2 linked regions of the Xenopus tropicalis genome follow. The protein of the gene in region 1 interacts with the protein of each later gene in a pairwise test. Links are inferred from orthologs where the notes say so. Each region holds a gene or a part of one and is shown in the gene's direction. Other genes may lie near its edges.

What was found.
Region 2: the proteins of stk16 (region 1) and kctd14 interact in binary tests that used the Homo sapiens proteins (3 or more experiments, as listed by UniProt). The link is inferred for Xenopus tropicalis from reciprocal best matches to the Homo sapiens genes STK16 and KCTD14.

What each region holds. Positions count from the first base shown.
Region 1 is NC_030685.2:83,927,615-83,933,186, reverse strand, and holds the start of stk16 (serine/threonine-protein kinase 16), read left to right. Parts: upstream 1-2,015; 5' UTR 2,016-2,087; intron 2,088-4,329; 5' UTR 4,330-4,353; coding exon 4,354-4,439; intron 4,440-5,572. UniProt on the Homo sapiens protein: Membrane-associated protein kinase that phosphorylates on serine and threonine residues. In vitro substrates include DRG1, ENO1 and EIF4EBP1. Also autophosphorylates. May be involved in secretory vesicle trafficking or intracellular signaling.
Region 2 is NC_030678.2:168,932,533-168,937,526, reverse strand, and holds the start of kctd14 (BTB/POZ domain-containing protein KCTD14), read left to right. Parts: upstream 1-1,410; 5' UTR 1,411-1,576; coding exon 1,577-1,618; intron 1,619-4,994.

The sequences.
Region 1 (5,572 bases):
TGGCCAATAAATGAAACACATTTATATATTAAAATACTCACTGTGATTTTTTTCTATCAACATGGCTTAGTAATCAAGTACTGTTTATTTCTTATAATTTCAGAAAGAAAAAGCCAATCAATCAAAAATCTTAATTAGCATTGCCGTATTTCAGAGCTTTTGAATAACTGATTTCTGGTTGATAGGTCCCATACTGTCCCATTCTGTCCGGTTTAAAACATTGAGAAAACTGGACAGAAATCCAGGCAACTGCATTAAGTAATGAAATACACCCCGCCCCAGCATCATAAACTCACCCAACATCATCATGCCCACCCTCAGCCCCACCCCTGATGCCATCAGCCCCATGCACCCTTTGTTTGGGTTTAGCCACTGGCAAAGATGGCGACCCTAGCATTACCACAACCCAAGGCATATTGGGGGGAAAGATCTGCTCTTTTGGCATCTTCGACAAATGAGCGAATCTTATAGTGCATACCTCCCAATTTTGAAAACAGAAAGACTGTCAAAAATAAATAGTGCGCACAGTGCGGCAATTTTTGGCCACGCCCATTTTTGTGACCACACCCCCTAAATACCACTCCCATTTGACTAAATTTGGCAGGTTATTTAAAGTTTGAACACATTTCTGGGGGTTTTGGTTTCCTGTTTTATGTGTTATTACAGTTTTGCTGAAGAAGGTGAAATTGCCCTTTAAAGTCACTTGGGGGTGCCTAACATTTTGGCACCCCCAAGTGACTTTGCCTTTCCTTCTCCTTTAAGCTGCGAGTCTCAGTTCCCCCAAGAGACCTGTTTAGCTTATTAGTTACAATTGTATCTCAGTGCAGGGGGGGGCTTTTAACCTTTCTGGACTCTCTGCCAAAAGCCCACTTATTTAATTAAATGTGAGAAACAATGTATCTAAGTTCAGGTAACGCTCTTTAAGGGCTCTGGCACACGGGGAGATTAGTCGCCCGCGGCAAAACTCCCTTTTTGCGGGCGACTAATCTCCCCGAGTTGCCTACCCCTGCCATCCCACCGGCGAACATGTAAATCGCCAGCGGGATGGCAGACGCGGCGGCGCGATTTTGCGCAAATCGCCAAAAAAGACTCGCAAGTCTTTTTCGGCGATTTCCTGAAATCGCCCCGCCGCGTCTGGCCATCCCGCCGACGACTTACATGTTCGCCGGTGGGATGGCAGGGGTAGGCAACTCGGGGAGATTAGTCGCCCGCGAACAGGGAGTTTTGCCCGTGTGCCTGAGCCCTAAGATTTCTAGGCTCTCTGCCAAAAGCTAGTTTTTAATTAAGTTTGAGAAACATTGTATCTTTTCTAGCATTCAGTGCAATGATTGACTTTTCAGTAAGAATCTGGGACTATGGGTTGAGTTGTCAAAAGACGGACTGTCCGGGACAGTTGGGAGGTATGCATAATAAAGACTTTTTAGCAAAATGGGAAGGCATCTGGAATAAAGCCAGTTTGGATGCCAGGGTCCTTACTGTGGAATATTTACAGCCTGAAATCAATAAAACTCGCAAAGAGATAACTTAACTTAAAGAGAGTGTTCAAAACAGTTCTATAAGCACAAGTGAGTATGATACAACTTTGCAAGAAGCCAATAATTCCATAAAGAATTTGATAAAAGAACTTATAGCCCGAAACAGAAAGAAATTTGACCGTGATACCCGAGATCATACAACTGGCACCGTTTATTCACGGCAGAAGGAATCCCCAAGGCAGCAGACTCGCATTTCTAGAAGGTTTGGCCAGCTGGGACACCGTACTCAGGAAGGAGCAGCCTCTACAACGCACTGGAGACGCCAGATTTACCAGCCATAGGAGAGACTGCGCTAGTGATTAGGGATCTAGTGATCTAGTGATTAACCTTTCAGATTCCAGACTGTCAGAGACTGAAAACAGAGTTTTGAACAAAGGTTTGGGCTCCTTTCCCATTCTGTACCTGCGTAACCTAGCAACGCAGCTCAGGCCCGAGTCGCCTTCCTTGAACGTCATCACTCGGTGCCGCCCTGCTTTCCAGCTGCCCGGTTGGTTACAGTTCCGGTGGGAGGCTGAAAGCTGCCATCGCTACGGGGGCAATAGAGGCAGTAAGGTAATACTGGGGCAATAGAGGCAGTAAGGTAATACTGGGGCAATAGAGGCAGTAAGGTAATACTGGGGCAATAGAGGCAGTAAGGTAATACTGGGGCAATAGAGGCAGTAAGGTAATACTGGGGCAATAGAGGCAGTAAGGTAATACTGGGGCAATAGAGGCAGTAAGGTAATACTGGGCAATAGAGGCAGTAAGGTAATACTGGGGCAATGGAGGCAGTAAGGTAATACTGGGGCAATGGAGGCAGTAAGGTAATACTGGGGCAATAGAGGCAGTAAGGTAATACTGGGGCAATGGAGGCAGTAAGGTAATACTGGGGCAATAGAGGCAGTAAGGTAATACTGGGGCAATAGAGGCAGTAAGGTAATACTGGGGCAATAGAGGCAGTAAGGTAATACTGGGGCAATAGAGGCAGTAAGGGTAATACTGGGGCAATAGAGGCAGTAAGGTAATACTGGGGCAATGGAGGCAGTAAGGTAATACTGGGGGCAATGGAGGCAGTAAGGTACTACTGGGGCAATGGAGGCAGTAAGGTAATACTGGGGCAATGGAGGCAGTAAGGTAATACTGGGGCAATGGAGGCAGTAAGGTAATACTGGGGCAATAGAGGCAGTAAGGTAATACTGGGGCAATAGAGGCAGTAAGGTAATACTGGGGCAATAGAGGCAGTAAGGTAATACTGGGGCAATAGAGGCAGTAAGGTAATACTGGGGCAATAGAGGCAGTAAGGTAATACTGGGGCAATGGAGGCAGTAAGGTAATACTGGGGCAATGGAGGCAGTAAGGTAATACTGGGGCAATGGAGGCAGTAAGGTAATACTGGGGCAATAGAGGCAGTAAGGTAATACTGGGGCAATAGAGGCAGTAAGGTAATACTGGGCAATAGAGGCAGTAAGGTAATACTGGGGCAATAGAGGCAGTAAGGTAATACTGGGGCAATAGAGGCAGTAAGGTAATACTGGGGCAATGGAGGCAGTAAGGTAATACTGGGGCAATGGAGGCAGTAAGGTAATACTGGGGCAATGGAGGCAGTAAGGTAATACTGGGGCAATGGAGGCAGTAAGGTAATACTGGGGCAATAGAGGCAGTAAGGTAATACTGGGGCAATAGAGGCAGTAAGGTAATACTGGGGCAATAGAGGCAGTAAGGTAATACTGGGGCAATAGAGGCAGTAAGGTAATACTGGGGCAATAGAGGCAGTAAGGTAATACTGGGGCAATAGAGGCAGTAAGGTAATACTGGGGCAATAGAGGCAGTAAGGTAATACTGGGGCAATAGAGGCAGTAAGGTAATACTGGGGCAATAGAGGCAGTAAGGTAATACTGGGGCAATGGAGGCAGTAAGGTAATACTGGGGCAATGGAGGCAGTAAGGTAATACTGGGGCAATGGAGGGCAGTAAGGTAATACTGGGGCAATGGAGGCAGTAAAGGTAATACTGGGGCAATGGAGGCAGTAAGGTAATACTGGGGCAATGGAGGCAGTAAGGTAATACTGGGGCAATGGAGGCAGTAAGGTAATACTGGGGCAATAGAGGCAGTAAGGTAATACTGGGGCAATGGAGGCAGTAAGGTAATACTGGGGCAATGGAGGCAGTAAGGTAATACTGGGGCAATGGAGGCAGTAAGGTAATACTGGGGCAATAGAGGCAGTAAGGTAATACTGGGGCAATAGAGGCAGTAAGGTAATACTGGGGCAATAGAGGCAGTAAGGTAATACTGGGGCAATAGAGGCAGTAAGGTAATACTGGGGCAATAGAGGCAGTAAGGTAATACTGGGGCAATAGAGGCAGTAAGGTAATACTGGGGCAATAGAGGCAGTAAGGTAATACTGGGGTAACATCGGGGTGTTTCTTTCTCTTCTAAGCTTAGGAGTATATGGCTGGGCTTTCTGTGGACTACAATTCCCAGCAACCCCTTAGCAGAGAGGGACAGCGGTTGAGCCACCCACCAAAGATCTCTGATATAGACCTATACTGAATAGATTGATTATGTTCCCCCAAACCATGTTTAATTTTATTCTTAGGTGTTGCTGAACTGTAATTCCCAGAATTCTCCAACCTATAACTAAAGCCGGGAATTGTAGTCCATTGACCTTTTTGGACCCAGTGTAACTGGTACTGACACATACTGAACCCCCTGTGCCTCAGTAATGACATTATTAGATTCTGATGCAGACTGCACTGGATGTTGTGCCGCTATGCACTATGCCTCTTATGTGCTTATACAAATGTCTCTCTTCTAGTGACCAAAGCATGTTGGAAGGACAATGGGCGGCGCTCTGTGTATCTGCTCTCGGGGGTCTATAACCATAGAGAATAAGCGCTACTTCTTTGTGCACAAACTGGGTGAAGGGTAAGTAAATGTTTATGGAAAATGTCATCTCCGCTTTTGTACTAGGAATCACAGAGTAATGGTTTGTGGGCCCCCGGGCCCCAACTAAATTCCCTTTTATTATACTTCCCTTTATATTGCTTGATATTTCATTGTGGTGTAGGCAGGGAACTACCGTATATACTCGAGTATAAGCCGATCCCAATATAAGCCGAGGTACCCAATTTTACCTAAGAAAACTGGGAAAACATATTGACTCGAGTATAAGCCTAGGGTGGGAAATGCAGCAGCTACTGCTAAGTTTCAATAATCAAAATAAATCCCAATAAAATTACATTAATTGAGGCATCAGTGGGGTATATGTTTTTAAATATATGTAAGCTCTGTAAGTGGAGAAGAGGGTCAACAAAAACAATAGGCACTGCAGGGTCTGGTTGCAGGAGGCCTAATTTGCACACAAAGGACAGAGGGTGCTAGTCTGGAGGGACCCAACTCGAGTATAAGCCAAGGGTGACTTTTTCAGCGCATTTTGGGTGCTGAAAAACTAGGCTTATACTCGAGTATATACAGTAGTTTATATCATATTACTGACATGGCCCATTCAGCAGAGGCTACAGATACACACCCAGCAGTGTGGCTTTAAATTAACTCCTGGTGTTCTGGAATTGCCATAATTGTATGTTGGGAAGGTGTTCAGAAATAAATTTACTTTAATTTTGCAAAATGTTCACGTTGATAGACCTTTAATAGACCTGAAAAGAAGGAGAATCAAGGCATTGTGGGAAAGAGAATATTGGCGGAAGGGGAGCCGCCTAGTGATACATTGTTTAATGGTACATGTAGTCAGAACCAGCAGTGCAGACCAGAGAGAAGCTGCTTTCAATAGCACTTTCATTTACAAACAGCCTTAATAGAAATGAATGTTTGTAATGAATGTATATGGGAAAGTTGCCTAGAATTAAATTTACTTTAATGAGCAAACAGTTACATTGGGGGTTACAATTTGTTTGGGGAGGTTTTGTCCCCTTTAACAGAATATATACCCCGCTAAATATCAGTACCTATTTTCCTCTGATATCTGTATTACTTTGTTAGAAATATGACAAATATGTGGCAACTCCATACATTTTCGTATTTAACTCATTCTTTTGTCC
Region 2 (4,994 bases), on another chromosome or scaffold:
CTACACCCACTGATCCGTGTAATCGATTCTACAACACAGGCATGCAAACTCTGCTTCACTGGCTGATGCCAGACTACAGCTCCCAGCATCCCCTGTTGATGAGTAATTATCTCTCCATTGTAATTTGCCATTTAAAAGGGAGAATTTGTTTCCTGTTCCTTCAACATGGCAGTGGGCAAGGCTATGTGGAAGGAACAGGAAACCAAAATCTTGGTAAGCCATGTGACCTGTGCTCTGATAAACTTCAGTCACACTTTACTGTTGCGCTGCAAGTTGGAGTGATATCCCCCCCCTCACCCCCAGCAGCCAATCAGCAGAACAATGGGAAGGGAGCAAGATAGCAGCTCCCAGTAGGTATCAGAATAGCACTCAATAGTAAGAAACCCAAGTCCGGCTTGGGACTCCTCCAGTTACATGGGAGTAGGAGAAACAAAAGGTTAGCTGAAAGCAGTTCTAATGTGTAGCGCTGGCTGAAAGCTCAGACTCAGGCACACTTTACTGCTGCGCTGCAAGTTGGAGTGATATCCCCCCCCCTCCCCCCCACAACCAATCAGCAGAACAATGGGAAGGGAGCAAGATAGCAGCTCCCAGTAGGTATCAGAATAGCACTCAATAGTAAGAAATCCAAGTCCGGCTTGGGACTCCTCCAGTTACATGGGAGTAGGAGAAACAATAGGTTAGCTGAAAGCAGTTCTAATGTGTAGCGCTGGCTGAAAGCTCAGACTCAGGCACACTTTACTGCTGCGCTGCAAGTTGGAGTGATATCCTGCCCCCCCTCCCAGCAGCCGATCAGCAGAACAATGGGAAGGGAGCAAGATAGCAGCTCCCAGTAGGTATCAGAATAGCACTCAATAGTAAGAAATCCAAGTCCGGCTTGGGACTCCTCCAGTTACATGGGAGTAGGAGAAACAATAGGTTAGCTGAAAGCAGTTCTAATGTGTAGCGCTGGCTGAAAGCTCAGACTCAGGCACAATGCACTGAGATGGCGCCTACACACCAATATTACAGCTACAAATACATTTGTTGGTTCAAGAATACAATGTTAAATGGCAGAGGGAATTATTTGCTTATGTAAACAGTGTCATTTAGAAATAAAAAGTACTCTGAACAATCAGAATATCCAAGGCTATTGTGATACTAATATCTACAGTTAGTATTACTGGTTGTATATATATAGTTTATGTATGTGAGTGTATAGATTGGTTAGTATAGGTTGTGTGCTGGGTTTACTCGGATGGGTTGAACTTGATGGACAATGGTCTTTTTTCAACCCTATGTAACTATGTAACTATGTAACTATGTAACTATCATGACAGTATCCCTTTAAAAAATGATTGTTTACAGAAGCGTGAGTGTGCCCTGGCCCAGAACACCTGGGTGAGTGTGTAAATCTCACAGCACTTCCGCTGGGAGTCAGACACTCCCCCTACTACACCTGTTAGACTGGGAGGATCAGGAGGGAGGGGAGACTGGGTAGAAAATCCTGCTGTAGCTGAAGGGAGGGATTTTGTTCCCTTCCCAAGAGCGGCTGTGTGTTTCCTGGCAGTGCCCGGCAGAGAGGGGGGAACCTGCCAACATGAGTGTCTCTGGGAAACAGCTGAGCAGCAGTCCGCAGGGTGTAAGTATCCATCTCGGCGGTGTCTGTTTTCTCTCATATATGTTGCTGGAAGGGGGTGAGTTGCATTGACAGTCTAACGTGTGCCCAGGGCTTATACCAGATCAATACAATTCCTATTAAAAACACACACAGGCAGGGGGGGAGGCATAAGATTGTGCCCCATTAATTAGCTGATCTACCAGTCACCACTTCACTGGATATACTGTGCTGGGTTAATTGGCAATTCATTTAGAAGCATGCCGCAGACTGCAAAGATTTCTGTGCAGCCAGTTGCATTTATATTATTATGTGATTTTTTTTTTTAATAAATCAGCATCTATACCCAGTCTCAATGAGACTTTCTGTCCGTGCCAGATACTAATTTTAAATTCCAGTCCGTCGTTATAGGCAAGTGACGTCATGGGGAAGACAGATATATTTTCCTTATTGCCTGGCTTGCCACACTCCTTTCATTCCAACCCACACTGCCTTCCTCTGTGGCTGCAAACAGGTTTAAAATCATTTTAAAGGGCTAATTTACCTTTAAATTAACTTTTTAGTATGATGTAGACAGGGATACTCTGCAGTTGGTCTTCAGTTTTTTATGGTTATGAATGATTTAGCTATTTCTTTAGCAGCTTTCCAGCACTGAATTTTAAGTGGCTGTCTAGTTGTTAGGGGCCAATTTAACCTAGCAACCAGCCAGTGGTTTGAATCAGAGAGTGGAAGATGAACAGGAGAGGACCTAAATAAAAAAAGAAGTAATGAAAAAAACAATAAAGTTGTAGCCGTTAACATTTAGGGGTTTTTTTTGGCTGTCAAGGTTGGTGACCCCCTATTTGAAAGCTGGGAGGTATAGGGAAACTATACTCTGACTGCATCTTTCAGCTATGGAGAAGAACCCAACCGTGGCCTAAATGGCCCTTCTCCCCTGGCTGAAAACCTTCATGTTCCACGTACCATAGGCCCTAGGTTGCATTAACGGCAAATACTGCACCTATAGGGATTTATATCTCTATGAATGGCAACTATGACTGCTGTGGAAGGGTAACCTCAACCAAAGACTCCAACAAAAGAAACCAGTGCCCAACTGGGGTGCTACGGGCTCAACAAAAACCTTAGACCAAAGACCTCTCCTATCTTTCCTCTTTTCTTCTTTGCCTTCTCTGATCTACTAGTCTCTTAATACACCATGATCTATACTTCTCTCCATTCCTACTCTTTGGTCTCATATAGAAATATTATGGTATGGTCATTAAAGGCCAAATGGTTGGGTCCAAATTAATGGCTGGGAGCCACAGGGCCCATTAACTCATGGGCCCCCCTGGGATTGTTCCTGGTATCCCAGGGGGCCAGTGTGGCACTGGGTGAAGCAGTTGGATGGCAGAAGTGAGTGATTTACTAGCATGTTGTTCCCCGGAAAGAGAAACCCTGGGTTGACCAATTGCTAGATATCACCCAGTGTGCCATCACCCTTTCAAGCTGGCCATTCCTGGGCAACTTTAAAGGCATTGTTGACCTTTAAATTAACTTTTAGTAGGATAAAGAGAATGCAAATGCTATGCAATTGGTCTACATTTTGTATTTGCGGTTTGTGTATTATTTAGCTTTTTGAAAATAAGACAGGAAAATGAATAGAGGAGGGCCTAAAGAGAAAGATAAGTAATACAAATTAACAATAAAAATAAAAATTGTAGCCTCACAGGGCAATGGTTTATGGCTGCCGGGGTCAGTGACCCCCATTTAAAAGCTGGAAATAGTCAGAAGAAGAAAACAAATAATTCAAAAATAATACAAAATGAAAGAAAGAAAATGAAGGCCAATTGAAAAGTTGCTAAGAATAGGCCATTCTATAACATAGTAAAAGATAACCTGAATGGGAACCACTCCTATAAGCTGCCGATTCGGGTCCTTCAGACGGATTCAGTAGCTTATCTGCTTGTGTATTAGGCCCTCTGATATTCTCCCTTTACAAAAATTGGGCCAAATCTCATTCGGACAGGCTTGATTTTCCCATCGGATCAAGAACTGCATTGGCTCATTGATCTGGTCCTTGCTCCAATGGCTTGTATCCCCTTCATTGTAATGCAATTGTTTGGCCAAAGGGCAAAGATGTTACAGTGTATGGCCACCTTAAGGGTGAAGACACACAATCACCTTGAATTGTAAAAAGTATAAGTCCCTGCGACTAATCCCCCGTGCAGTTTCGCTACGCAGATTAGTTGCTGCGACTTTTTAAAAAGTTGCGGAGACTAAATGCTGCGTGTCTCTTCGCCCTTAGGCACGCCTTTCAGCAGGTAGGCCAGGTGTCTCTCTTATCTTCTGGAACATTCTTTGCTTCTGTGCTGGGGCCATAAAGATAACATTAAGGCACTGGAGCTTTCCATGTGAAAGTTTAGGGTGGGGTGCAATTAGTACGGAACTGGCAGTTGTTGCATCTCTTTGCGCTGCAGAGTAATGGTGGTTTAAATGAGGCGCTTAGCTATTCATACTCAGTTGACTGTGCAAAGGGTAAATATTCCCACTGGAGAGAATTTTTTCCGACATCAGAATTCTGCATAATTTCAAAACCAAGAAAGGTTATTTGCTGAGCGTCCACATGTTCTCGGGAGGCCTAGGAAAACCAGTCCCTGCAGGATGTGACAATTGCTTACAGCCGGGTCCGTCTGGCCTGCAGGGATATGGTTGGTTTCGGGCCTTTGTAACGGTGCCAGGCAGATGGAGCTCATGCGTGCCGGCAGCACTGGGCTCTCTACTTGTTCTCTCAGAGCAAATATATTATCAGCAAATACGGCTTCCAAGGGATCTGCTCTGTGCAGGGAAGGGATGATCCAGGATACAGCTGTACACACGCGAGGGCAATTACTTGGAAGGGAAATGGGATCCCCCCAACCTTTGTGTTAGTTACTAACAGCCTGAGGAACTGCATAGTGCGTAGGGATACCAGCTCACCCCACACAACTAACACGCATGCTTCATGGCTAATTAGAAATGATAGACTGCAGTCTTAGCCATGCAGGATGCAGTTTAATATGCAACCAGTTTTAGGATAAGCTGTAACGTACATGTAAGGTTCCCTATATCCACTCCATCTGGCTGCTTCCTACATCTACAGTCTGTGGCCCTGGCTAGGACTCTAATTAAGCATGAACTTTCTGCTCGGAACGAAATACTCCCTACTACATACTTTTATGTGAACTAATGCCACTCCAGCACTCATTATTCTGGGTATTAGTGTGGTGCGTATATTTCCTAGATACCTGGCAGGGAGTCTTAGTTCCATCTCTAAAACTCATAGACTAGTTTCTACTAGATCCTATCTGCAAAATGTTTTTTTTTTTTCCCACTGCTACTATAGGCATCATCTCTCCCTACTATACCTGCTATCCCACAGCCC